2 separate regions of the Mus musculus genome follow, and region 2 is reported to be linked to region 1. Evidence: microRNA targets listed by miRTarBase, many of them from high-throughput screens and not tested one by one. Region 1 holds a microRNA gene; the other region holds the end of a gene's coding sequence.
The links. The annotated mature microRNA mmu-miR-344f-3p reads CUCUAGCCAGGACCUGACUAC and lies in region 1 at 9,125-9,145, shown strand. An mRNA with a match to its seed (bases 2 to 7 or 8) in the 3' UTR can be bound and repressed. Matches are read on the target gene's strand: a 7mer-m8 pairs with bases 2 to 8, a 7mer-A1 pairs with bases 2 to 7 and ends in A, and an 8mer does both.

Region 1 (17,552 bases):
GAACTACATAACTGAGAGAAATCCTCTTCATCAGAGGCCTTGCAGCTCCCAGGGTAGGGCATTCCCAGCTGAGCTGAGGAGCTCAGGGGCCTCAGACACACTTCTTTTTTTTCTTCATTGATTCTTTTCTTCTTGACTTCTTCAAACAAAAATCATACTAGGCAGGAAATCTGAAGAAAGAGATTTATTGGTGAGTCCAAGGTGTTGAGCGACCAATCCAGGGATGGCTGCACTCTGCTTCTGGGTGTGGGCAGCAGAGTGCTTAAAGGACAGTGCTTAAATCAGGTTCCTTAGGAGGTGGAGCTCTTCAGGGAAGAGATATCCAGATTGAGAATTGATGGGATTTTAAGTCTTGAGCCTGGGGAGCTCAGGGCTTGGTGGGTGGTTCAGAGATGGGTGAGTTTCCTGCTCACCTACTCAAAGGTTTGCGTGTGTGTGTGTTTTGGGTGGGTTGAGAAACTCATGGATTGGTGAAATTTTGAGATCAGGGATTGTTGGATTTTTTTTCACCCACATTTTCCTGCCCTGGGCCTAAAAGGAAATCCTTGCTGGCTACCTCTGTCTTTTACTGAAACACCATCTCTGGGGGGCTGCTAGTTTGGGAGAGAGAGGCTAAAGATGAGGTGCTGCCACTGACAGGTACTTGGCAGCACAAACTTACAATCAAAAGGACACAGACAGAAAATGAGGCTTTCTGCTAAATAGCCAGAGTTAAGATACATGCTCAGCTCCAGCTTTCTATTCCAATGGAGAACTCCCTTGGAGCATTTTCCTTATGCCTGCCCTCATGGTGACCGTTTCCTTCTTCCTCCACCTCTTGGCCCTTCTCCTCCTGGATCCTAGCCTGGCTCATGGTGAACTACTTCTACCTGGCTCTCCTCCCTGGGATCCCAGGCTGTAATTGAAAGTCCAGCCTTCATAACTCTGCTCTCCAGTCACTGACTTTTCATCTTTTTATTAACCAATCAGACATAATTGGTGGACATTTTATATAAAACATTGGTATATGGGATTCTTCAATATTCACAACAATGCCCATGTCTGGATATTGTCAGCATCTGGATACACAGAGCTGTATAAAAGGCCAATTCCCAACAACTTTTAGATTTCTGATGAAGCTTAATATGACATAGGGCAGAAAAGAGACCAGTGTGAACAGAAGCTACTATTACAAATAGAAAGGCACAGACAGTCTCTGTCAAGGAAAGCTTGGCTGCTTTGTTCGGGGTAAAAAAGAGATTCTTTGAGGTTTATACCAACAACTCTTATCCAGGATTTTAAAAGTCCTATACTCAAGGTCATATACCCAGTTGAAGACCATGCAGAAGTACTTGTATGTAGCCTTAACTATCCAGCAATCACTCCAGCAACCCTCATCTGAGTAAAAGATCTCTTTCACGTTGCTTAGTACAGGTGGAATCTCCAGTTACTCAGAACCCACAATAACAAGAAGAAACAGGATGATTGTGTTCCCATAGAGCAGTGAGCTTGATGATGGCTGAGTGAACAATTCCCATGCTGAATTCAGGGAGGAGACTTGTATCTGGGACTGGAAATCAATGAAAAAAATATCTTCTGGGTTGGGAGGCAAAAGGCAGTTTTACTCTTAAAAAAAAAAAAAAAAACAAAACTGTAAAGGTTGTGGACAGTGCTGACATTTCTGACCACCTTATCACTCCAACTTGGATTTTTGGACCATGCACTAACAATAACAAAATAGAGCCATCTGAGAGTATGTGTACATAGGAAGGAGAAACTTGTTCAAATTTCTCTATTGATTTAACTTTTCTTCCATCATCTACCACACAAAAACCTGAAACCCATTGGAATCTTATAGTAACAGGATTGAAATGACAGGAAAAGTAAAAGATACAACTTGAGTCTTGTATTTGCTAATGTTAAATGAAAAAAAAAAAAAAAACCCTAAGCCAATATGCAGACATTACTCTTCATTACGTTTAGGTGTCTGAGTAAATTTTTATCAAAGACTGTTCAAAACTGAAACTGCTAGAATTACAGAAAAGCTTTAGTAATCAAAGAACACCCACAGCCTGTCCTTTGTGTTCACTGGATATGGGGACAGATTGGATCAGTGTATGAGCTGTGGAAGCAAAGAAACTGAGCAATACATCCATATATCCCCTTTTGGACATAGTCTTCATGGAGACCATAGAGGGTAATCAATTTCTGATTAATTATCTCTTATGATCTATAATAAATTCTTCCAACACTTGAGAAAGTCCCCATGGATTTTAGATAATGGAAGACAGTAGAGTGGGAAAAGCACTACTGAGGGAATTAGGTATGAGGAAAGAAATAATTGATATCCACTTGACTGAGACTGACAGATAAAATAATGTTCACCACTAACTTAAGGAAAGCAAGTACTAAGCAAGGTTCTTGAGGCTGGCAAGGAGTTTTCTTAGTTTTTATGAACTCTTTGTTTTTATTATAAAGTTGGAAAGGCTTTAGCAGACTTATATAGTTACACCAAACTTCAAAGATAAAGTGAGATTGATTCATGGAGGAGCGAAAGGGAAGAATAATCAGAAGAGCGCGGAAATGGATGGTATGTGAAGTCAAATGTGGGAGGTTCCTGAAAAAAAAAAACAAACTGAAGATACAAAATACTTTTCTCATGAACTTTATGGCTTTAAACAATCACCTTGAATTGAATAGAAGGCAAAGATAAGCCTATCTCTGCTCAGTATAGTTATGTCTCTTTATTAATCAGTGCTTCATTCTCTTCTGTGAAAAGAAGTATTATGGGTGGGAATAATTTGTATGAGTAGGACCTTTACCGGTATTCAGGTATCATGAGTTGTAGGCTGCAGTTGGAACTAAGATCACAGTATAAAAACTGAGCCATCCTGCTACCCCAGGGAATACAACTAACTAGTGGCTGTAGCATTGGAGAACAGGATCTCCTTTGTGGTTTGCCTTGTGTAGGGCAGAGAAAAAGGAATCAGATATACTAAAGCAATTATTATTAAAATGAAGGGGTTCTCTGTGGAAAACTTAGTTCTTCCTGTCCATGCTAGTGTATCCAATGGTGATGAGAGGAAGAAATAATAGATGCTAAGATTAAACGCTGTGCTAAATATTGATTATATTTGATTCGGTGTCTTCTTAGCTTTGAACTCCTGAGATAAGCTGACACTTGCTCAGAAGAGATGGCAGTGGATGTTCCAAGTGCTTTACCAATGTTAAATCAGGAGTCCTATTATTACTTATAGTGTAATGACTTTTGCATCATTGTTCTGTCCATATACTGTATATCCCCCTTTTATTGTAGCTATCACTGTGTAATCTTTGAATGTTTTGCAGCTTTGAAGACTCATTTAATAAACATGGGAATGCATTTAAAGTATCATGCATTGATAATAATTTTACAAATGGTGCATAGGAGAGGAGATTCTGTTAAAAGGTACAGAAAAAAATACAAGCAGATATTTGTTGAAGCCACAACATTGTGCATTGGAAATTCTAGGGCTATTAATAGGTTACTTCCCTAGTAGTTATTGGCCACAGAAAACCTAGCAGTTTCTAAAAGAGTAAAGATGTTTGCAGCAGGTGTTGGCTTTATTTAAGAACTGAATGATGCCCTTGGTATTGTGAGGATCATATGCCCCAGTATAGGAGAATGTCGGGGCCAGGCAGTGGGAATGGATGGGTTGGAGAGCAGGGCAGGGAGAGGACATAGGAGGCTTTGGGGTAGCATTTGAAATGTAAATTAAGAAACTATATAATAAAAAATGCCTTAAAAGGTCATGGCAGAAGGAAAAAACAGAACTGAATGAAAAGGTTCTACTGTTGAGGAAGTGTATTGCTTGGCCTTTGAGGATTAAGAAATACAATTTAAGTCATGCAAGTCTTATTTGCTATAAAAAACGTTGTGAATTCAAATTTACCAGGTGTACTTGTCTAGAAGATTCTTTTTTCTTTGGAGTTATTCACTATCTTTGGCTCTGACAGTCTTCTTAATCCCATTTTCTGTTGAAATCTTTGAGGCATGAACTGATATGTTTGCTTAAGACATCTCATTTAGGAGCAAGTGCTCAAAGTTTCTCATACTTAGGCTATTGTACAGTTGTGAATCCTTATGTTATTTCCTATCTACTACAAGTAGGATCTTTGTTAATGATTATTGAAGAGCATGTTTATCTATGGGAGGAATTTTAATACTAGATTCCTTTAGCTAAATAATATTAACAGGTTTTCCACAAGCCTTGTCCCATCTAGTCTCAGGTGTTTTTTTTTTTTTTTGTTTGTTTGTTTTTTTTTGTTTTTCACAGTAACAATGTTCTCTATTGGTTCTGCTTTGTGGGTTACATCATAAATTCATAAAACTGAAAGATTACTCCAATGACTTTTGTACAATGATTTCACCAGTGTATTATACAAGCATATCATTAATGTAGGTTGCATCATTTGTATCTGGGTAGCATTGATGATTTCTTCTTTCCACCAGTTATGTGTAGAGTATCTCCCAATACCAGGATTTCTAGTCAGAAATAGTAAAGCTTCTAATTTTCATGAGCACGATTTCTCTGTGTATAATGTGATAAATAAGCTGCATTTCCAGCAATAGGCCTCACAATTAGGTTCTATAAAGTAGAAGATATCCTTGGCTGTAACCTGTGATAGCTGTAGAGTCTATATGACTCCATTAATAAATGAATCAAAAATAACCCATTTCCAATACTATACATTTTACTTGGTGGCTTAAATGTTTAGTTGAACTATCCTCTTTTGTAAGGTGAATCCATTAAATTACATTCTGAAGTGTATACATTTTAGGAATTTTTAAAGTATTTTTCATGTATTCATACATGTCTATATGATCTAATGATTACTTATACCATTCCATCTTTCATCCACAGCAACACTCATATATGTCCCATTTGATTTCAAATTCGAGGCATATTGTTATGTGTTTTATAGTTACAAACATATAATTATGTATATCTAATGACTAATTTCTGCATTCAAGGATTCCTTTGGATTTACAGTATTTTTCTATCTCTTCCATAATACTCTGAAGCTTGATGCTGATGATGGTTTTAAATTTAACTGTTGTTATTAGGCATACCAAAGTCAGATGAATTTTGACCAGGGGCATACTGTAAAGGTCTCTTTGTGCTGCAAAATGAAGTTGTTTTGCTGATGGTGAATGTTGCATTAATCTGTGGATATAAAGATATATATTTAGAATGTGATTATAAAGCATACTGGTTCAGTAAGTTGGCCGCTGTAGGTTGTTTTGCAAGACTGGTAATCTCACTGTCTGTGAACAGATGACTAGGGTTACAGTGTTTGGTATAACACATTTCCTTGATCATATAATAAGACTACTGATTATCATTCACATTACACTCTATCATGAACAATTAACGTGTAATTTTGAATAACTAAAACTCTATTATCATGATGAGGGCTATGATTTGTGAAATAATGACATTTGAGAGGAGTTGATGAAATATTGAAGTTTACCTATAGGTTTTGTACTGTTCTTATCTTTAGTGTTCACTTCAACATAGCATGGAGGTAAGGAGTAGATGAAATATAAAAATGAGAGACATAGGGGACTCTCTTTTCTACTTTAATATTGTAAGAAATTCTTAAATCAACCTTACTGGAAATGACAATATGAAAGAATATTTTGTTAGAAGCTTGTCTGTCTTGAATGTGATGCAGAAATTAGTGGAGAGTAATTATACTACCTGTGGCTGACAAAAGAATGATGCAGGTACTTTCCTATTTTCTAAGATTGCAGAGAATCAACATTGAAACTTTTGGAATATCTCAGAGATGATGATCTTCAGTGTTGTGGTACAAAGTGATTTTTGGAATATGTAGAGCAAATATTCTTGTGGTCCTTGAATTATAGTCAGTGGGTTATTCTTTTTTCTTTTAACGTCAACTATGCCTGGGTCTAATGGTGGCCCGTTGGGCAATATAATTCCTCTGAAATTATGAGCTTCTGATTTAATTGCTAGAATACACAGGTAAAAATCCACGTATAGTGTTTTTGGCATGCAATTCCATGGCATGCAGTTAAGATTGCTAAGTTTTTCTGGCCAGCCAAACTATTTTTTTGGTAAATTTGGTGAACATAAATGTATCAAATTAAGCAAAGGTAGTAGGTACAATATCAGAGTTATGCAAATGAGCTGTAAGCAGTTAAATCTGCATACACAAAACTTCTATAGATCAAGGAAGATAAAATCTTAGCAGGGGTGATAGAACCCTCAGGAAGTCCCACTCTTATTTTAGATATCTTTGGCATTTGATGGACTGCTGGAGAAGGGAGAATTTGTTTTATTCAGTAATGTTTGGCCTCAGAAGATACCACGATTATATTAGAGATCCATACATCCTTGAACACTTACATAGCCTAAATTGACAAGTTGATATTAAGAAGAGAGGGAGAATGGGCTGTACAACTCTATAGTATGACTGGTTATGGTTTTTCTGAAATAATCATCTTTTACACTGAGGAGTTTCTTTATGAATGGAGATGAGTAAATTTATCTTAGCATATTCAGACAAATGTTTATAAATTGTTATGAGATTAGACTATTACACAATATTTTGTTGTTATATTTGATTAATAAGTTTGTGGTTGACAATTCTCCACTATCCATAACTTCAGTAGCACCAAGTAATTAACTATGTTTCTAGTACTAGGATATTGTTTCCCTCTGAACAGGACATATTATCAATTAGAGTGTTAGTAGATGCCACAAAGTTATGTATGCTGCCACTGCACACTTGAGGTTATTATGCTATGCTGTTAACTGATGAGGTTTACAGCCATGATAGCTATATATGACTTTTGATTGCCTTTCTCCTTTGGAAGCTTGCCCATTATTTTTATTTGTATGTTCTTTTGGTGTCCCTATCACCTCCAGATTCCTCAATACTTCCTCCAAATTTTTCACAAGACTTCCTGAGTTCCATCTCATGTTTGGATGTGGATATCTGCATCTGTTTTGGTCAGCTGCTGAGTGGTGATTTCCAGAGAACAGTTATACTCAATTCCTGTATACTAGGTTCCTGACAAAGTATCATTAATAGTGTTATGATTTAGTTCTTGCCGAAGGGATAGATCTCATGTTGGGCCAGGCATTGGTTTGTCTTTCTCCCAGTGAATATGAAATCTTTGTCCCTGCACTTCTTGTAGATAGGAAAAATTTGGGGTTGAAGTTTTTATTGTGAGATAGTTTCATTATCTCTTCACTGGAAGTCCTCCCTGGCTATAAGAGGTATTCACTTTAGGGTCCATATCCCCTACTGCTAGGATTCTTAGCTAGAGTCACCTTCATAGACTTCCACAAGCCTCCTCAATTACAGCTTGCAAGTTCATAGTAGATCTATCCACAAAATATTCTTACACCTAATGTTTGTGGTACAATAAAGTGAAGTAGCAAAAATAAATGTCAGAGCCAGGTGATCAGCGAGTTTTGTTATAATAATGTTTCTATGAATAATTTTAAAAGCTCCATCAATTAAATTTCAGTAACCTGAACATCCAAAATTGAGCTAAACTTGATGGGAAAGTGTTCACAAGGACTCCACCATACTTATAGAACAACATGCAACTGAGGAAATCTGGAAAAGGAAGATGTGGCCATTCTCAGCGAAGATCACACAAATTATTTGTGTTTTAACAGAAGATCACCTTTGAGAATGTGTATTGAAGTAACATTAAACTTACTAATCAGATTATATTTAAGAATATATAGGTATATGCATGTATACATCCAACAAAAATTAGTAAAAGGGGGACATAAATTTGAAAGATATTGTGATGTGGTTTATTGGAAAATTGAAGGAAGAAAGAGAAAGAAGAAATGCAATTAAATTATATCAATAAGAATAAGAAGGTAGTCACACACATGCATACACAGAAATACACACAGACACACACACACACACAGACAGAAAGAGAAGAGAGACACAGAGAGACAGAGAGAGAGAGAGACAGAGAGAAATGAAAATGCAGCCATGCACAAACACATGCACACATACATAAAGAGAATAGAGAGATTCATATAAGTACAGATAGAGTAGTAATAGTAGAGATAGTGTAGGATTTTAGATTATAGAATGTAGGGTAGGTATTAAAAACACATAATATTTATAATGAATAAAATATGTCTTAAGAAATGAAGCTGCTAGTGGGGAAAAATGTAGATTTGTCTTTTGTTTGTTACCTGGATGCACAATATGCTCACTCCTCACACCAGAAATGTATGAGTTCACAAATGCAAGCAGAGAGAGAGAAAGAGAGAGAGAGAGAGAAAGAGAGAGAGAGAGAGAGAGAGAGAGAGAGAGAGAGAGAGAGAGAGAGAGAGAGAGGGAGAGAGAGAGAGAGAGAGAGAGAGGGAGAGAGAGAGAGAGAGAGAGAGAGAGAGAGAGAGAGGCAGAGGCAGAGAATAATTATGGACCTGTCTTAAAATAAATTTTCATACTACCTGTTAAATTATTTCTTTACAATGACTATACTTTAAGCCATTTCATGTTCATTAGATATATTTCTTTTTTAAATCTAATCTGCTTTTTCTGTAGTCTAATCATTCTAATAGACATAAAGTTCTAATCTAGTGTGATGGCTCATTCTTATAATCACTGCGCTTGTAAACAGTGGCGCAGCTGGGTAGAAAGCATCAGCAGCAGCTGCATCTGGCAGCTCAAAATCATAATCAGAAGGGTCCAGACAGACAAAGACACTTCCTTTTACAAGAGCATCTATTCCCAAGCAACCAGATACATGCTCAGAGCCCCCACACACCACTGGCTGTTTTTGCCTTTTGTCAAGTGGAACCATGTAAAATTGCATTTATTTATTATTTCTCATTTCACTGTTCCTGCCTGCTGCAGCACACAGAGAGGAGAGGCGATACATACAAGCTTGTATAGAAATCTCCCTGGTTACAGAAGGCTATTGATTTACATAGCTAGTTTTGAGATCTCTCACTTGATTGGTCCTAAGCCCATTCTTATTTTGAATGCACACACTCAGCCAATCATAGACAAATGGTGCTAATATAAGTCCCTGAAGAGAGGGGTTTTGCCAGTCAGTCTCCTGGCTGGAGTCCAGCTCTAAGCTGGTTCCAGGCTCTAGCCAGGACCTGACTACAACCTACTTAGCAGTGAAGGAGGACCCATATTAAGATATGCCAGGAAACAGAGCCAATGGAAAACCAGCATAGACAGGTACTTGCTAAAAGAGTCTGCACGTTTATTGAATTATTTGCTTCTATTTCCTCTTTAGGAAATGTGTTCCTTCTTCCTTATCCATTGCTCTTTTTTAAAAATATATTGCTCAGAGGGACTAATAGAGACTGAAGCAGTAGTCATGGAGCCTAGGTTCTTTGCAAGTGTCTGCTTATTAAGCTTGGGGGTTTTGTGGGATTGCCCACTGTCAGTGTGAGGATGTCTCTGACTCTTTCTCCCTGCTCTTGGGACTTGCTTTCTCCTACTAGGTAGCCTCATTCAGCCATGATTTAAAGGTTTTTTGTTTTGTTTTGTTTTCTCGTATTATTGCATCTTTTTTTTTTGCTATGTTTAGTTAGTATCAATGGGAAGCCTGTTCTTTTCTGAAGGGAAAAGGAGGAACATATGTTCCAGAGGAGACAGGGAACAGGGAGGGAGGGGAGGTTGCATTTATGATACACTGTATGAGAGAAGTATAAATTTTATATAGACATATATATATATGATTTACCCTTGGATTTTGGCTTTAATCTGCCATAAGCATCCCAGCCTTCAGTATATAACAGGAAACAGGAGAGCTGCTGTTCCATAAACATCTCAGCTTTCAGTATATAACAGAGACAGGAGAGCTACTGGTCCATAAACATCTCAGCTTTCAGTATATAACAGAGACAGGAGAGCTACTGGTCCATAAACATCTCAGCTTTCAGTATATAACAGAGACAGGAGAGCTACTGGTCCATAAGCATCTCAGCTTTCAGTATATAACAGAGAAAGGAGAGGTACTATTCCATAAGCATCCCAGCCTTCAGTATATAACAGAGACAGGAGAGCTGCTGTTCCTCAGACTCCCTTCATGGACCTAATATGAGGAGAACTGCTATCTACATATATCTCTTATCTGGCAAACTAAAACTCTGAGAGAAAGGTCAGAGCTGAAACATTCACTTTTTTAATGGGTGGTATTGTTTTATTGAAGGTAGATTTTATTTCATACAATATATGATTGTGTTTTCCCTGAGCCAAACTTTTTTTTAACCTTACTTAGGACTTTATTCTTTTGTTTTATTTATTTGTTTGTTTGTTTATTAAAAATTGGATATTTTGTTATTTATATTTCAATTGTTTTCCCCTTTCCAGGTCTCCCCTTGGGAACCTCCTTTCCCATTTCCCTTCCCCCTGTCTCCATGAGGGTGCTTCCTCAACCACCCATCCAGTTCTGTCTGTCTTCCAGCCCTTGTGCTCTGGCATTCCCCTATACTGGGATATCAAACGCCATCAGGTCCAAGGGCTGCTCCTCCCACTGATGTCCAATAAGGCCATTTTCTGCCACATATGTGGCCCAAGCCATGGGTCCCTCCATGTGTACTTTTTGACTGGCAGTCCAGTCCCTGGGAGCTATGAGAGATCTGGCCAGTTGACACTATTGCTCCCCTCCAAGTGTCAGCTCCTTCAGTCCCTTTTCCAACTCCTCCATCAGGGACCATGCACTCAGTCCAATGGTTGGCTATGAGCATCCACCTCTGTATTCATAAGGCTCTGGCAGAGCCTCTCAGGAGACAGCCATATCAGGCTCCTGTTAGCAAGCTCTTCCCAGCATCCACAATAGTGTCTGTGTTTGGTGACTCTATATGGGATGGATCCCCACATGGGGCAGTATCTGAATGGCCTTTCCTTCAGTCTCATACCAAATCCCACCCACCCAAATCTAATCTACACTTTTTCCTTGTCTCTTTAAAGAGAATATAGACATGAATTTACTACTACTACTACTACTACTACTACTACTACTACTACTACTACTGAGCAATCATTAAAATAAAACAAATCACAGTAAGACACACGAAAGAAACAAACAGAAGTAAAATAGCCAAATGAAATTATGCAGAGGCACACATGTTCACACAAAAATAAGTGGCACCAAAACACAATACCATAAACCATTATCCATTATAGGCATGCCCACAAAAAAAGGACATGTAAATAAACAAGAAAACACCACCAACAACAACAGAAACAAAACAAAACAAAACAAAACAAAACAAAACAAACACTGAGTGAGTATTATAAGAAAAAGAAACTCAAAAATGCCTTTGAGTACTTTTTTGTGTGCGATCTACTTCTGAGTTTCGGACCTTTAAAGTTAATTTGCATATGCGATGAAGCTCCACTAGAGGAAACTTAATTTTCCATTTGCTTGCAGTAATCAACTGGCGATAGCTTGTGGTTTTGTGACAGGTCATGTGCTGACTTCTAGCCAATAATCATCAGGTAGCATAAAAAAATGGGAATGGGTGGGTAGGGAAGTGAGGGGGAGGATATGGGGGACTTTTGGGATAGCATTGGAAATGTAATTGAGGAAAATATGTAATAAAAATATTAAAAAAACTGTAAAGCTGGAATCAAGAGTATCACAGATTCTATGTTCTAATCCACAACCAGTTTTTTGGTAAATATTGTTTCTGCTGTGTGATAAATATATTTGTTTACTCTTCCTTGTCTGGACACTCCAGTTTTGAAATCAGGCAAGTTAAGAGGACTGGCCATATCCTTAAGGAAATAACTTTTATATAAAAATTTCCTTTCAATTTTTTTCTTTTGAAATCTTTATTTAATCATAACATAGTCCTCTTTGCTTTCTTTCTACATCCTTCTCTATACATATTTTCACTCTTCTTCAAATCCAATTATTTCAATTTGTGCTTCTTATATGTACATATGATGTGAGTACCAAGATATAAACTTTCAACATTTTCAACATGGTAGAAAAATTAGGAAGGAGAGAAGTGGGGTAGAAAGGGACACATTATTTATTGGAATCTATAAAAGGTCTCAAAACCTCCATTGGGTGATTGGTTTGAATATAATAGATATAACAGATAATAGGAGCCACTATCACCCTGTACCTGAGGGGTAGTTCCCTTGCATTTCTGCTTAGAGGCTTTGCAGTGTCACTTAATATTTGTATATGCCTTTCTCCTCAGATTTCATCAGAATTGAGTTTAGTTAATTGTGGATAACTAGATCACCATATTGATAATATTGGAAAAGACATTGAACTAGAAACCAAATTTTAAAGGCCAAGTTGAGTTTATGTTCACATATTTATATGGCATGAAATCACAAGCATCCATTATTACATAAAATAGTAATTTAAATGGTCCAGTAGTAAATTGCATAACTAATAGTGGATGAGTTAATTTTGTAAATTCTTGAAATTTCATTTAATCATTTTTATTCAAGAAATGCACAAGGTACTCTAGCTGATTCTTTATGGTGTTCCTTAAGAAATGGTATCTCTCAGGAAAAAAAACTAGTTAATTAGATTAATATACAAATTTGAATTTGTATATTCAGAGTACTAGTTTTCTATTAGGCTATACTATGGCTAGTTCAATAACTTCCCACAACACATGAGAAATTTGACATAACTTCACTCCTTAGTCTAAATTCTATACTTTGCTAGATGTCTACCAAGAGAAAATGGGTAAGCCTTTTGTTCTTCACAGTTTGCCTTTTTTACTTGCTGCCATGTATTAAAATATGCTACCTACTTACTGTCTTGTTTATGATTATTATGCCTGGGATGAAATACCATTACCAAAAGCAACTTGGAGAGAAACAATTTGGATTATACATTGTCTTGAGGTTTCTGTTGCTGTAAAGTGACACCATAGCCATGACAAATCTAATAAAGGAAAATATTTCATTGTCTGACTTAATATTTCAAAAGTTTAGTCAATTATCATCAAGAAGAAAAGTATGGAAGCATGGAAGCATGGAGGTGGGGATTGTGGGGCTATATGCCCTGCAGCATTCAGGCAAAGAATTTAGGGAGGGAGTCCTTATTCTTGCTGCTGTCAAGATAAGACTGTAGTTTTATGAAGTGATTTTAGGGGGTTAGAAACCTACCAACCTCACTCCTATTCCAGTCCCATTCTTTCAGCTCACACTTGCCCTACAGCTCTCATGCCTTCAAATCCAGAGCTGTATGACATTTACAGTACTGGTATTGGCTGCTAACAGGAGGAATCACCTTAAAAGATCATGGAACACATCTGTGTGTTGACTCGTTTTTTTTTAAACGTGTATTGGTGTTTACCCTGTATGTTTGGTAATGGTATTAGATCTTGGAGTTATAGACACTTGTGAGCTGCCATGTGGGTGCTGTACATTGAACCCTTGTCCTCTGGAAGAACATTCTATGTTCATAACCACTGAGCAACCTTTCCAACCACTCTGTGTGTTGACATTTAAGAAACACTTTCCAGAAGACTTTACCTCAATTTGATATAACTTCACTATTGTGCTATTCTTTTTTTTTTTTTTTTGGTGATGAACTATCTTTTTTTATTTTTTAATGTTCTTTTTTTATTGGGTATTTATTTCATTTACATTTCCAATGCTATCCCAAAAGTCCCCCATATGCTCCCCCACCCACTCCCCCACCCACCCACTCCCACTTCTTGGCCCTGTCTTTCCCCTGTACTGAGGCATATAAAGTTTGTAAGACCAATGGGTCTCTCTTTCCAATGATAGCCAACTAAGCCATCTTCTGATTCATATGCAGCTAGAGACACGAGCTCCGGGGCAGGGGGTGGGGGAGGTTACTGGTTAGTTCATATTGTTGTTACACCTATAGGATTGCAGATCCCTTTAGCTCCTAGGGTACTTTCTCTAGCTCCTCCATTGGGGGCTCTGTGATCCATCCAATAGCTGACTGTGAGCATCCACTTCTGTGTTTGCTAGGTCCCAGCATAGTCTCACAAGAGACAGCTCTATCTGGGTCCTTTCAGCAAAATTTTGCTAGTGTGTGCAATGGTGTCAGCCTTTGGAAGCTGATTATGGGATGGATCCCTGAATATGGAAGTCTCTAGATGGTCCATCCTTTCATCACAGCTCCAAACTTTGTCTTTGTAACTCCTTCCATGGGTGTTTTGTTCCCAATTCTACGAAGGGGCAAAGTGTCCACACTTTGGTCTTCGTTCTTCTTGAGTTTCATGCATTTAGCAAATTGTATCTTATATCTTGGGTATTCTAAGTTTCTGGGCTTATATCCACTTATCAGTGGGTACATATTTTGGGGGTTCCTTTGTGATTGGGTTACCTCACTCAGGATGATGCCCTCCAGGTCCATCCATTTGCCTAGGAAATTCATAAATTTATTCTTTTTAATAGTAGAGTAGTACTCCATTGTGTAAATGTACCACATTTTCTGTATCCATTCCTCTGTTGAGGGTATTGTGCTATTCTTAATCACAGCTGATTTTCAGCATCCATAGGCCTAGAACAGTAAAAATCTTACTTTAGTGATCCTGGTCTCATGTTGGTTACAGCCAATACATCAGCTAAAGCTGATCTGACACAAAAGATTCATCACAGAAATGGCTTTGTAGAGTCTTTACTTCTCTCAGAAACATCACAAGCCAGGACACCATCACCTGTTATCTTAAAAACTCCTATGCCATATTCACTGTAAACTCAGCATGCAATGTTTTTAGTTTCCCAAGAGTTCAGTCTCCTTCCAAAATCTTATACAAAACAACATGGTCAGTTCTGTAACAGCAATAACTCACTCTTGGCACCAATCTCTGTCTTAGTTAGGTGTAGTGTTGCTGTAATGAAACACCAACATGCAAAACAACTAGGGAAAAAGACTGGGTGTGTTAATTTGTACTTCATTATCATAGTATATCATTGAAGGAAGTCAGACCACAAACTCAAACAGAAAAGGAAATTGGAAGTAGAAGTTGATGCAAAAGATATAAATAGGTATTGCTTACTGGGTTACTCTCATAGATTATTGATCCTACACTCTTATACAACCTAGGGCCAAAATTGCCTGGGTTCAATGAAATCAATCACTAATTAAGAAAGTGCTCTGTAATTTTGTTTACAGACAAAGATTATAGAGACATTTTAAAATTATGGTCCTATCTCTCCTCTGGCAATATCAAATGACAACTTGACATTAAAGTAACCAACACATACAAAGACTGTTGTACGAGTGAAAGAAAGCAAACATCACCATTCTCCATAGAGGACAGTAGGTTTTTATTTTTTTCTTTTCTTTATTATTTTTCTTATATGTTATTCCTTCTTTAAGTTTAATTATCTTACTTTTATGTGTTTATAGATACTATGTAATAATAAATGTTCTGACATTTTGTAGAGCCCATATGAGTTCACTGTTACCATGTGTTTTATTACCACTCATATACCAGGATTACATCACATAGTGAATTGCCAATTCAGTAGTATTGGGGTCCAATCTTCAATTGTATTTATACAGAGAGTCCAAAGTTCTTATTAGGGGAATATTAAAGACTGTTCTCTATGGAGTGTGGAAGCAGATAATAACACAAGATACTGCATGTCTCCCAGAGAAGGACTAGCTATCAATTAAAGGAGTACAGGACACCGTGAATACAAAATGGACCTCAAGAGGACCCACATGAACAAGGCTATTATATTTATATACATAACTATAGTATATCTCTACCATAGTCATTTATTCAGTTGGAAAATTAGCTCCTGTTGCCTAGACCCTGGAAGAAGAGTGACAGCAGGCCTGGCCCACATGCCTCACTTGTCATATCAGAGCAGCGAATATTTAGCATCATTTACTTTGCATGCAAGGAGCTTCAGGATACTCCCCACCCAATTCATCTCATAAATAACTCCTGGAAAATGGAGAAACAAATCAAAAATCCACCTTATATCACAGAAGTTTATCCTGTTCATATGATGATTGCCAACGGGCAATTGTTTATATTGTATCTCTACTTCTTTATTTCTATAGCTTTATTATAGCCCAACATATACGAAATGTATAATTACAAGACCTTTACTAGTGTTAATGGCACTGATTAGAGAGATCATTTTTAATGTGGGTCTGGTTGAGTTGTAAAAGTTATCAAGTGGTGATACTCTAAGTGTTATATGGTGGGAATTTATACAAAGACAGTGTAGACAGAGAAGGTTAGTGCTGAAACTCAGTGCTTATGTTTGGCTTTCTTTAAGGAACTGTTCAAGACAGAATAGTTTAAAAGAGGATGGACAATTTTATGGGCCGTATTGAAGAAGTTTGAGAGGGCAGAGAAACGGAAATATTACGTGTAAGTATGCTGTAATCGTCTTACAATAAATGGTAAGCTTATATTCAAATATATGTGGAAATAACACGAAATTATGATATTAGTTATACAATTTATATTTTTATTCTATTATCAGTTGATGCATTTAAATTGGAGCCATTTGATAAAGTCTTTTATACTGTTGATATTTTACTGTGACTTCTCTAGTCAATACAGACTAGAATAAAATACTTAGGTGCCAATGTCTGTACCCATGTAATGATTACTTATGGGCAAAACTTCATACTCACAAAATGTGAGGATTGACAATTATGCCAATGGTATATGTTGTGGAATAGTAATCTTTGCCTGAGGTTGTGTTTTGTATACAACAAGATTAATATACTGATATTTTTGTATTTTAACATATTATTATTGTATTAATTCTTAACATTTTAAAAGGCCAATACTGTCTTGACATGTTCTAAATTAGTTCCTAAGACATGAAGAAAAAAAAGTAGAACACCAATGCTTCTAGTAAGTCTTCCTGTAGCTACATATCTCATATTACCAGGAGATGATATTTATTCTCTTTTTCTTTTCTTTTCTTTTCTTTTCTTTTCTTTTCTTTCCTCTTTTTTTTGGATTTTCAAGTAAAGATCATAGCATTCAATAAATAAAGAACTTGGTAAGTTTCATCAAGTACTTTGAAATGAATAATTGTTTGGGTAAAGGAGGCTCTGGGAGAGCTGCCTGCTCTTAGGGCAGTGATCTTCTTCTATGCACTTTCCCTGAATAATTATACACATTCTATGATGAGTGTTTTGTAATGCAGATGTCTTTATGTTACTTATTATCTTGTAACAGAAAATGAACAATTTGGTTCATTGATCTGAAGCTATTTGAAATTGTTTTTGTAGTTGTGGTTCAGTCATTGATCCTGCTACTGGGCTGAACAGACATTCATTCATATCTCATCAGGGTATATAAAATTCAATAGAATCACAAAGTCATTGTTTATTTTAAAAATTTTCCAGACTCAAAAATCATTCTGTATGTAGGTTTAAGTACTGTAGTCTGTTGTCTGTATATTTTCATAAATATATAATATTTATAATTTTTGTGTAATATTACACTTATGTAAGAACTTTATGACCCATGCATGTGTTCAGTTTTGAGAACATGTCATATTTTTTTCTTCATTGGTATCTAATACAAATGACCTTGGATGGCAGTAATATGGTATAACTGTTT
Region 2 (9,651 bases), not on the chromosome of region 1:
CACAGCCCCGCCCCTCTCTGACCCCACCTGAGGACCGTCTCCCACTGCTCTCTCCTTCCCCACTCCCCCAGAACGCAACCTGAACCCCAAAGCAGCCTGCTTGAAGCGGAGGGAGGAGGAGAAGGTGTCTGGCGTGGTCGGGGACCCACAGCTGGCCCTGTCAGCCGCCCACCCGGGCCTGGGTGAGGCCCACAACCCAGCCGGGCACCTGTGAGCCGTCACAGCTTCTTCGTTGGACCAGGGACCACCATATCTCTGCCCGGGGTGCATCAGGACGGTTCTGGATGAGACAGGTCTCCATCGAAGCATGAGCAGAGAGAGGGCTCTGGGGACACTTCAGGGCCTGGGGAGGGTGGCACTGAACAGCTCCCTGCTTGGCCCCAGTGACCAAGCAGAAAAGTTCCTTCCTCTCGGTTAACCAGAACTGGAAACAAAGCAGCATGCTCCCTTTTCAAAAAGGAAAGAAAGATGCCTTAACTATGTAAGACGGAAGAGTCGGACCGTGCCCTGGCAGGGCGGCCTGGGACTGGCTTCTACTTCAGAGCCACCAGCACATCGTGCCTAAGCATTTTTCGTTTTTTTAAAGGAGAATAAAGGAACATTAGTTTTCAGATTTTTTTTTTAAATGTAGACAAAAGTTAGCAAGAACGAGGCCTTCCGTGTCTTTTTTTTTTCCCTTAGCTTTTTTTTCCGTATGTTTTGTAAGCAACAAATTTTTGTATAAAAGTCTCATGTCTGTTTCTGTTTCTAGAATTTATCGTCATATTTCATGGTCTACAAGGTTATTAAAGTAGCATTCAAAAGACCCAGTGTTGATCTAAGGGTCACCCCTACCCTGAGGCCTGGCACAAGATCTAGATGCTTGCCCCTTCCTCTTCCCATGAACATGAACCCAAGGCCTGTCTGTGCCAGGCATGTGCTCCTTGGCTAAACCATGCCCTCCTCATGTGAAGTGGGCCGTCCTCATGGTCCTCAATACTTGGGTGTCATGCATTAGGGGACCTCTAAAGAAAAGTTGCTAGAATAAGGTGTGTGTGTGTGTGTGTGTGTAAGGATATTAGAATGGCTTACAGGCCATGACCTGGGTATTCTCAACAGCGACAAAGCGACTGTCTCCAAGAATACTGTAGCTATTCAGTGTGCCAGCAGTCCCAATTCAGTGCTGGAGTCCTGTAGGATTCCTAGGGGATGCTGGTCTTGGGTCTGCACTGGAATCCTGAAGAACAGGGTTCTGACACCAGTGAGGGCAAGCAGGCAAAAAGCAAAAGCATTCTCCTTCCATGCCCTCTTATGTGGGCTACCACCGGAAGGTGTGGCCCAGGTTTAGGGGGTCCCAGCACAAGCGTCCCCTACAGGTGTGCCCAGCAGGTTGGGTGAGTTGATTCCAGCTGTAAAGCTGGGTCAGCAGACACATCACACAAGCCTATGCTCCCACAGCTGCCTCCTACATTCTCATCTGTACACTGGTCCTTGGGTCCCCTCCCAAGTATTGTCCCCTTGTTTCAGATCCCAGTGGCATCCTAGTCTCTTGGTAGGATAATGGTGAGACCACCAGGACACACCACAACACTGTTCATGCCTGTTCCATGCTGACCTCTGTCCCCACAAGTTACACTTCCTGAAACACCTCAAAAGCCTCTAGTGAGGAAGATTTTGTTCGGAACCATGGTAACGCCTTGTTATGGCAAATAATCTGTTTACCACTTTGGCTCGGGAACCTGCCACTTCTGGAAGCCATGGGAGGAACAGCTGGAATGAATACAAGACTGCCTTGCCTTATCTCTGCTTTAGTGGCAAACAGGCAGGAGAGTGTGGGATCACCCAGACTTCAGGCTTTTGGGAAGCAATTGACCTGTCTTGGGCCCAAGTGGCTGTGAGTCCCTATGCCCGGGGGTGCATGGCCACCCTCTGACAGTCTCCATCTCCCTGATCTAGACTTACAGAAGTGTAGCTACATCTCTATGAAGTTGGGTCCTCAGGCAACTTACCACTGAGGCCCTCTGCCTTATGACCTTTTTTAAGGTTGCACTGTGTGTGTTTGGCCTGTAGCTTGCCATGCTGGCAAGGCTGGTATTAACTCAGCTCCAGGTCTGTCAGTCTCCCCAGTCCTAAGCATTAAACACGTGGCCACCATACCCAGCTTTGCTTTTTTTAAAGTTTATGGGATGTTTTGTCTGTATATTTATCTGTGCACCACGTGTGTGCAGGCTCTGATGTCAAAAGAGGGCATCAGATCTCCCAGAAATGGAGCTACAAGGGGCTGGGTGCTGCCATGTGGGTGCTGGAAACCAAACCCAACATGAATGAACAGGCAGTGCTCCTAGCCGTACCTGAGACAGGCTTTTGGCTGAACCTGGAGGTGACCAGAGTAGTTCAGCCTTTGGATCCCGTGTCTGTCATCCTATGTTGACAGGGGTTACAAGTGTGGGCCACCACACATGGTTTATGTGGTCCTCATGCTATATGACACACACTTTACCCACTGAACTGTCTCTTCAGCCTGATATCCTTTTGTGTCAACCAGAGGACATGGTCTCCTGAGGGCAAAGAATTTTCCTTGCTCCACAATCCTAAGGGCATGGAACCCCCAACCTAGTAATAAGGCCCGCCCCTGATGTAGCAACTCTGTGGTCTGGTTCTTGGCTAAGGTCAGTGGCATAACTGAACCTACATACATTGGGCCTGTGGGGTCCAGGGCTCCGCAGACACCCATATGCCAGTCGCTGACCATTCAAAAGTGAGGCTGAAGTAACAAGGGACAGACCTTCTATCTAGGCTCCTTCCGGAGGGATGTGTATCTGAGGATGTGCCCGCCTTCTTTCTGCCAGTCAGGGGTGCAGTTAGTGGGTTAGCTGAGTAGTTAAAATGTGCCTGTTCTGGGAGATCAGGCAAAGCAGGGACTTAAGCAGAGAGGGTAACCAATGAGAGTCAGCCTGTGCACCAAAGGTGTCCCATTGCAAAAATCCAAGCAAATGGAGGTTAAGAGGGCACTTGCCATTTGACTGGAGTCCCTCAGCGACTCACCGACAACTTCAAATGTATTCAAAGGTGTGGCCCAACTCGAGCCTTTCCCCTTCAGGGTCTGTGCTCAAGTTCCTCTGGTTTAAATTGATCAAAGATAGGGCTGTGGCTCAGTGGGACGAACGCTCCTCTAGCGTGTCCAAGGCTCTGGGGTCCAGTCCCAGCACTCCCTGTCTACCCCAGGCTTACACTTTAGGAGGTGGAGGCAGGAGTCTGAGGAATTCACGGCCAGCCCTGAATATAGGAGACCCCCATATCAAAAACACCTAAGTATGTGTATTATTAAAGTTATTATCAGATTAGTACTACGTGGTCAAAGTCACACACACTCTCCCCACCCCATCCCCGGTGTTCCAGTGTGCATGGAGCTACTGCTGGGATCCACTGCAACCACAGAACCAGGACAGAAGCGGATCAGTAACGTCTTTCTCTCCTCCCCGGAAGTAGATGTCAATGTCTTCGGCGCCACCCCCGGAAAAGGTGGAGCGATCGCCTTCACGCATGCGCTATACGTCTGCACATGCGTAGTGCTCCAGGGCAGCGGAACGGGGTGACCCTGAGTATTGAGACCCTGCAGCGATGCTGAGCAGGTTTCTAGGCCCGCGCTACCGGGAACTGGCCAGAAACTGGTGAGGAGGTCACCCGCCATTCCACCGTGTGCTCTGGGGACTGGGGAAACCTGAGGCTGTAACAGGCAGAGTATTGCGGGACACAGTGCAGGTGGAAGCTCCGAGGTTAAGCTGCAATCGCCTTCGTTCGGTGTCTGAGGTGCTCCAAGCCTGGGTTTCCCCAGCTTGACCTGGGTAGCCTTGTGTGCGGCTCTGGGTGGGTACCCTGGACTCCTACGGCTCGGAACTCCGACGTGCAGCCTGGCGACTTGCAGCCTTTGGCTTTGATTTTGCAGTCTTTCGTGTACTTCGTTTTTTCGTTTAAACAGTGTTTTTGTAACCCCAAGTTGGTCTGGAACTCCCACCAATCATCCTGCCTCACACTTCTTGAACGCTAGAATAGCGGGCACCCACCCTCACCTGAATGTTTTCTTTGCATGCGTGTCTGTGTACCGTATACGTGCCCAGTATCCAGGTAGGCGAGAAGAGGCCATCGGCTCCCCTGGTACTAGAGCTAGAAATGGTTATGAAGCATGTGGGTGCTGGAAATTGAACCTGGGATCTCTGGGAAAAGGGCCATCTTCTCCAGTTTAATTTTTATTAATAGTTTATTTCCAATTATATGTATATGTGTGGGTTTGTGTGCGTGTAGTACATAGAACCGGTACTACACGCACAGGTGCCGGAAGTCTCCAGAAGATGGTGCTCAGGGTCCATCCACAGCGCCACACAGGGGTTGTCACAGCACTGGGGGTAGAGGGGTGGGGTGGTGGCAGGCAAGAGCCAGGAGTTTATGGCCATCCTCTGATACATAGTGAATTCCAGGTCGGGGTAGGGTACATTGAACCCTGTCTCCATGAATGATGAATGAATGAGTATAGCTATACCATGACTGACCCTTCTGGGTAGGCTGTATGGTATTAGTGGCCGCAGCGGAGGGTGGCATGGATCAGACAGAAGACACCTGCTGGGAGGCCAGGGAGAGGGCTCACCTGTGGGAGATTCCGTTTGTGTGTGAGGCTTGGAGGTGACACTCTGGGTGTCTTAGCAGGGGACAGAGGAGGTAAGGTTCTGGCACTGTTGCTCAGTGGCTGGTATCTTGGTGCTCTGTGTAGTTCAGATTCATGGGCTGTCTACAAACTGTCCACATGGTCCCACTGGGCATAACCAAACAGAGCAGTATCCACATGGTCCCACTGGGCATAACCAAACAGAGCAGCGGATGAACTTTGCCCCCAGTAGCCTGGTCCTGCTGCCCAGGGAAGGGTCTTCTGATGAATCAGCCCCAACTCCCACTCACCTGAGACAAGAATCTCACTGACATCCAGTCCTCGGAAGCCAAGTGCCAGCTGTCACGGTCACATATGCGATGTAACAGGAGTTTACAAGTTTACCACAGTATGTTGCCCATCGTGATAGTGCATGCCTGTAATCCAAAGGCTTGGGAGGCTGAGGCAGGAGGATCACAGGTTCTAGGTGTGCTTAAGTTGCATATTGAGTCTTGTCTCAAAAAACTCTAGGCAAAAAGTAATAATGGCTGTGCTGAGAGTCAAGGACTCAGGCACAGCTCGGCCAAGCTCAGCCAGGCTCAGTTCCCAACCCGTGCCTCGAGCACTCTCCTAGTTTTACTTTCATGTAGGTCTCATGGAACCGGGGCAGGCTTCTAACTCTCTCTGTGACCAGAGATAGCCTTGAACTCATGAACGCACCTGGTTCATGTGCTTGGGATGGAAGCCAGGGCTTCCTGTGTGTCAGGCAAGCTCTCTATCCACTGAGCAACAGCCACAGCCTCCCCTCCACCCTGGTTTTTATGTCATGTATGTGTGTGTGTTGTATTTTATATGTCATGTCTGTGTGTTTGTTGGCACCAGTGCCAGCCACAGTATGTGCATGGAAGTCAGACAGCAGCTTGAAAGTGTGGGTTCCCTACGACCTGGGTTCCAGTGACCATGACAGGCTTGGTAGCAGGGGGCCTTTTCCCTCTGAGCTGGCCTCAAACTCCGAGAGAGTGCTGGGGTTAGGGTTATAGTGTGAGCACTGTGCCTGGTGACCACGTTTTTATTTTTCAAGTAGGATCTCAGTCTGTAGCTTGGGCTGGTTTTGTCTGTAGTTGTTGTTTTGAGACAAGTTTCTCTGTGTAGTCCTAGCTGTCTTGAACTCAGACATCCTCCTCCTGCCTCTGCCTCTCAAGTGCTGGGGTTAAAGGTGAGTGCTAGCCTGCCTGGCCTGTGAATCTGGTTTTGAACTCAAAGCAGCCCTCCTGTCTCAGCCTCCCAAGTCTGGTGGTGGGGGTTATGCAGGACCTCCTGCCCTGCAAAGTCGAGGGAATATTGTGGGCCCTTGACTGACATCAGCATGGGATATGATGGGAGAAGGTTCTCAAAGGCTAAGTTACCAGCAGAGTCTAACAGCCTCACTCTTTCCTACCAGGATTCCCACAGCCGGCATGTGGGGCACTGTGGGTGCCGTGGGACTGGTGTGGGCCACGGACTGGCGGCTGATCCTGGACTGGGTGCCTTACATCAACGGCAAGTTTAAGAAGGACGATTAGGCAGCCCCTCCCCCACCACAGGCCTCGATGGTGAGTCTGAGTGTTGGCCTGACTTCTATGGATTGGGAGTTCTGGGGTGGCCTGGACCTTAAGCAGGAATTCCTTTTGTCCCTTGCCATCATCTCTTTTGTTCCTTGTATCTCTTGGAATACATTGCATGCTGAGGGCATGCAACACTGTGTCCCCATCAAACCACACCAAACTGGCTATTTTGCTAATGTTGGTAGCTTGTTGCCCAGAGTACAGTCCTATTTAGACCACCTGACTTGTGTATATGTGTGTATGTGCAAGTATGTATGTGCACATGCACACATAGGGAGGCCAGAGACTGAGATGGGAGCTTTCCTCTGTCTCTACTATCTATCACCTTTAATCAGAGTCTCTCACTGAACCAGAAATGTGCCACTTTGGCTTGGTCCTGGCTAGCCAGCACCTTCCCAGGGTCAGCCTGTCTCTTGCGGCCTTGTCCCTAAAGTGCTGGGACTATAAGTATATATAGCCATGCTTAGCTTTGATGTACTACTGGAGATTTGAACTCAGTTCCTGGTCCTTTCACAGCAGGCTCTTACTGGCCATCTCTCTAGCTTGTCCACTTTGTGTTTTAAGGTTCATGTTTGTGTGTGTGTTTGGGGGCTGTACCTGCAGTGCTCACAGAGGCCACAAGGGGGCATCTGACCTGAAGTCTGGTGGTTATGAGCTGCTGTGTGTGGTTGCTGGGAACTGGACCCAGGTCACCTCTCCAGATCCATCCATACAGGTCTCTTGTTGAACTGGAGCTCCTGGATTAGGTAGACTGGCCAGTGAGCCTCCTGACTTTTTGCATGTCTGCTGGGGGGTGGATGGAACTCATTTCCTACCTACTTATTGCTCCTCCAACCCTCTCACTCCATCTTATAGACAAGGGCCTTGTAGTGTGACACTGCTGGCATCACTCCCAGAGCTCAGAGGCCCTGGGCTGCCCGAGCTGGTTCAGTGTGCTTAGCTTACTCACCCTTTGTCCCCTCCCCCAGGTACCATGTGCCGAGGCCTCAGACACAGCGTAGTCCTGTGGAAGACACTGAGGAAGCTGGACACTGGAGAGGTCTGCACCGCTCAGGGAGCTTCCATGTTGACAGACACTAGGGCTGCCTTGATGGGTGCAGCATTAAACCTTATTCTTATGCCTTGGACGCCTGGCTCCTTCCTCATCATCTTCCTCAAGGCTTTCCGTGCTCAAGGGAAATTCGTCTCAGCCCCCAGCACTTGCACGTCTGGGAGAGTCTTTAACAAGCAGAAACCCTTACACTACATTCAAGTGTTTTCTGGGTGGAAACTGCACATTGTTTTCTCTCAGCTGGTCTGATAAATCACTCCCAGCTTTAATGCTTTTAAAGTAGTATTCACGGCCCCTATTGGCCACCATACCCAGCTAGAGCAGGGCTCCTTCCTTCCTGGTTTTGTTTGTTTCTAAGACAAGTTCTTATATAGCCCAGGCTGGCCTCACACTCACTATATAGCTAAGTCTGACCTTAGACTTCTCAACCTCCTGCCCCTGTCTCTCAAGTGCTCATGCAGCTGTCCACTGCCATGCCTGGTGTTCATGGAGCCGAGGATGGCCCCTGGGCCTTCTTGCATGCTAAGTAAGAGCTGTGCCAGATCAGCCACAGCCTTTTGGTAAAACTGCTGTCACCAACCCAGCACATACATCTCGGTGCTTCATAACCCAGTATGGTCAGATTTCCAGACAGTGTGCACTAAGTGATTTCTTGTCTTAAGAAATCCTGCGAAGCCGGGCGGTGGTGGCTCACGCCTTTAATCCCAGTACTTGGGAGGCAGAGGCAGGTGGATTTCTGAGTTTAAGGCCAGCCTGGTCTACAGAGTTAAGTTCCAGGATAGCCAGGGCTACACAGAGAAACCCTGTCTTGAAAAAACCAAAAAAAAAAAAAAAAAAAAAATCCTGCATACGTCTCTTCCCAGCACTCTGGGTGTCAAGTCAAAACAACCAAGAGTTCCATCCAGGTCACCAGCCTAGGCTACTGAAGACCTGGTGTCAAGACAAATTAACACCACAGAAGAGGCTAGAGATATCTCATATTTCAGGGGTTGTGAACTCTTGTTCTTTCAATGACCCAGGTTCGATTCCTGACACCTAGTGTCTCCAGTCAGTCCCATATCCTCTTGAGGCCTTCATGGGCATCAGGCACACATGATGAACAGACAAGACGTGTAAGCTAAATACTCATAAGCATAACTCTTTCCCTAGGCCTGGGGTGCAAGCCTGACATTCCAGCTCCTCAAGATGCTGAATGGGAGAAGGTGAAGTGAGGGCTGCTGGAGCCACTTAGTGAGTGGAGCCTGTGACTTGAGGGTGGACAACCCTGTCTTCATGCTTGGAAGGCTGAGGCAGGGTCAGGAGTGGGGTAGCCTGGGGCACACACAGCTGAGTACAACTCTTGTGATCTATCTGATTAGGGTTTCCACTGCTGTGAAGAGACACCATGACCAAGGCAACTCTTATAAGGACAACATTTAATTGGAGCTGGCTTACAGGTTCAGAGGTTCAGTCCATTATCATCAAGGTCGAATGACAGCATCCAGGCAGTTGTGGTGCCCGAGAAGGAGCTAAGAGTTCTACATCTTGATCAGAAGTCAGCTTGGAGAAGACTGATTTCCAGGCAGCTAGGTGGAGGGTCTCTCAAAGCCCACCCCTCCAGTGACACTCTCCAACAAGGCCACACTTCCTAATAGTGCCACTCCTTGGGCCAACCATATTCAAACCACCACACCATCATACCTGAGCGCAAGCTCTGACCTATTCACACAGTAAGATAAACTCAGGAAAGTTGTCAAGATCAGAAACGGCTAGGGATGGAGCTCCTTTAGGGTGTACAAGGCTCTTGGTCCATCTCCAGCACTTCATAACTGTCACCCCAGCTACATAGCAAGGTTCAGGACATCCTGGGCCACTTAAAACCCCTTATTGGTTTAAGAATAAAAAAGATGGAAGGAGAAAGACAGTTGAGTAACCAGCTTGGCAAACACGCGTGAGAGCCTGAACTTCCTTGCCCGGAGGCTGCATGTCTGAGACCTCCCTTCCTGCCAGCCCAGATAAAGCAGTAAGCTACAAGCTGAGAGACCCAGTCTGGGGAAGTTAGATGGTTCTGGATGGTAAGAGGCACAGATTTTTAAAATTCAAAAATAGAGAATTGAGAACCCCAGTGTCAATTTTCTGCTGCCATTCTCACATGCAAAAATCTGTCAGACACCAAGCCTGGCTTAATCCCAGCACCTGGGAAGCAGGGGGCAGAAGGATCTCGGAGTTCAAGGCCAGGGAAAGCTACAAAGTCAGACTCTGACTCAAAAATACAAAACACTAATCCCAGCCTCCATGTCCCCCTGACCTTCTTCACTGTGATCTGATCTCTCCTCCTGATCTGGGGACCCAAATCCTAGCTCATAAAATACAGTTCCTGAGCTCCAAAAATTGCAGGC

Region 2: miRTarBase lists Tcf3 as a target of mmu-miR-344f-3p. The part of its 3' UTR that is shown has no 7-base or 8-base seed match.

Annotation. Positions count from the first base shown.
Region 1 is chr7:62,037,776-62,055,327 of GRCm38, reverse strand. Mir344f (microRNA Mir344f) reads left to right here and starts at 9,080; the gene lies at 9,080-9,147.
Region 2 is chr10:80,400,695-80,410,345 of GRCm38, reverse strand. Tcf3 (transcription factor 3) reads left to right here. Exons shown (of 19, transcript NM_001164149.2): 19 at 72-805. The coding sequence ends at 214. Uqcr11 (ubiquinol-cytochrome c reductase, complex III subunit XI) reads left to right here and starts at 3,525. Exons shown (of 3, transcript NM_025650.2): 1 at 3,525-3,650; 2 at 6,060-6,210; 3 at 7,191-7,349. The coding sequence starts at 3,601. The coding sequence ends at 6,180.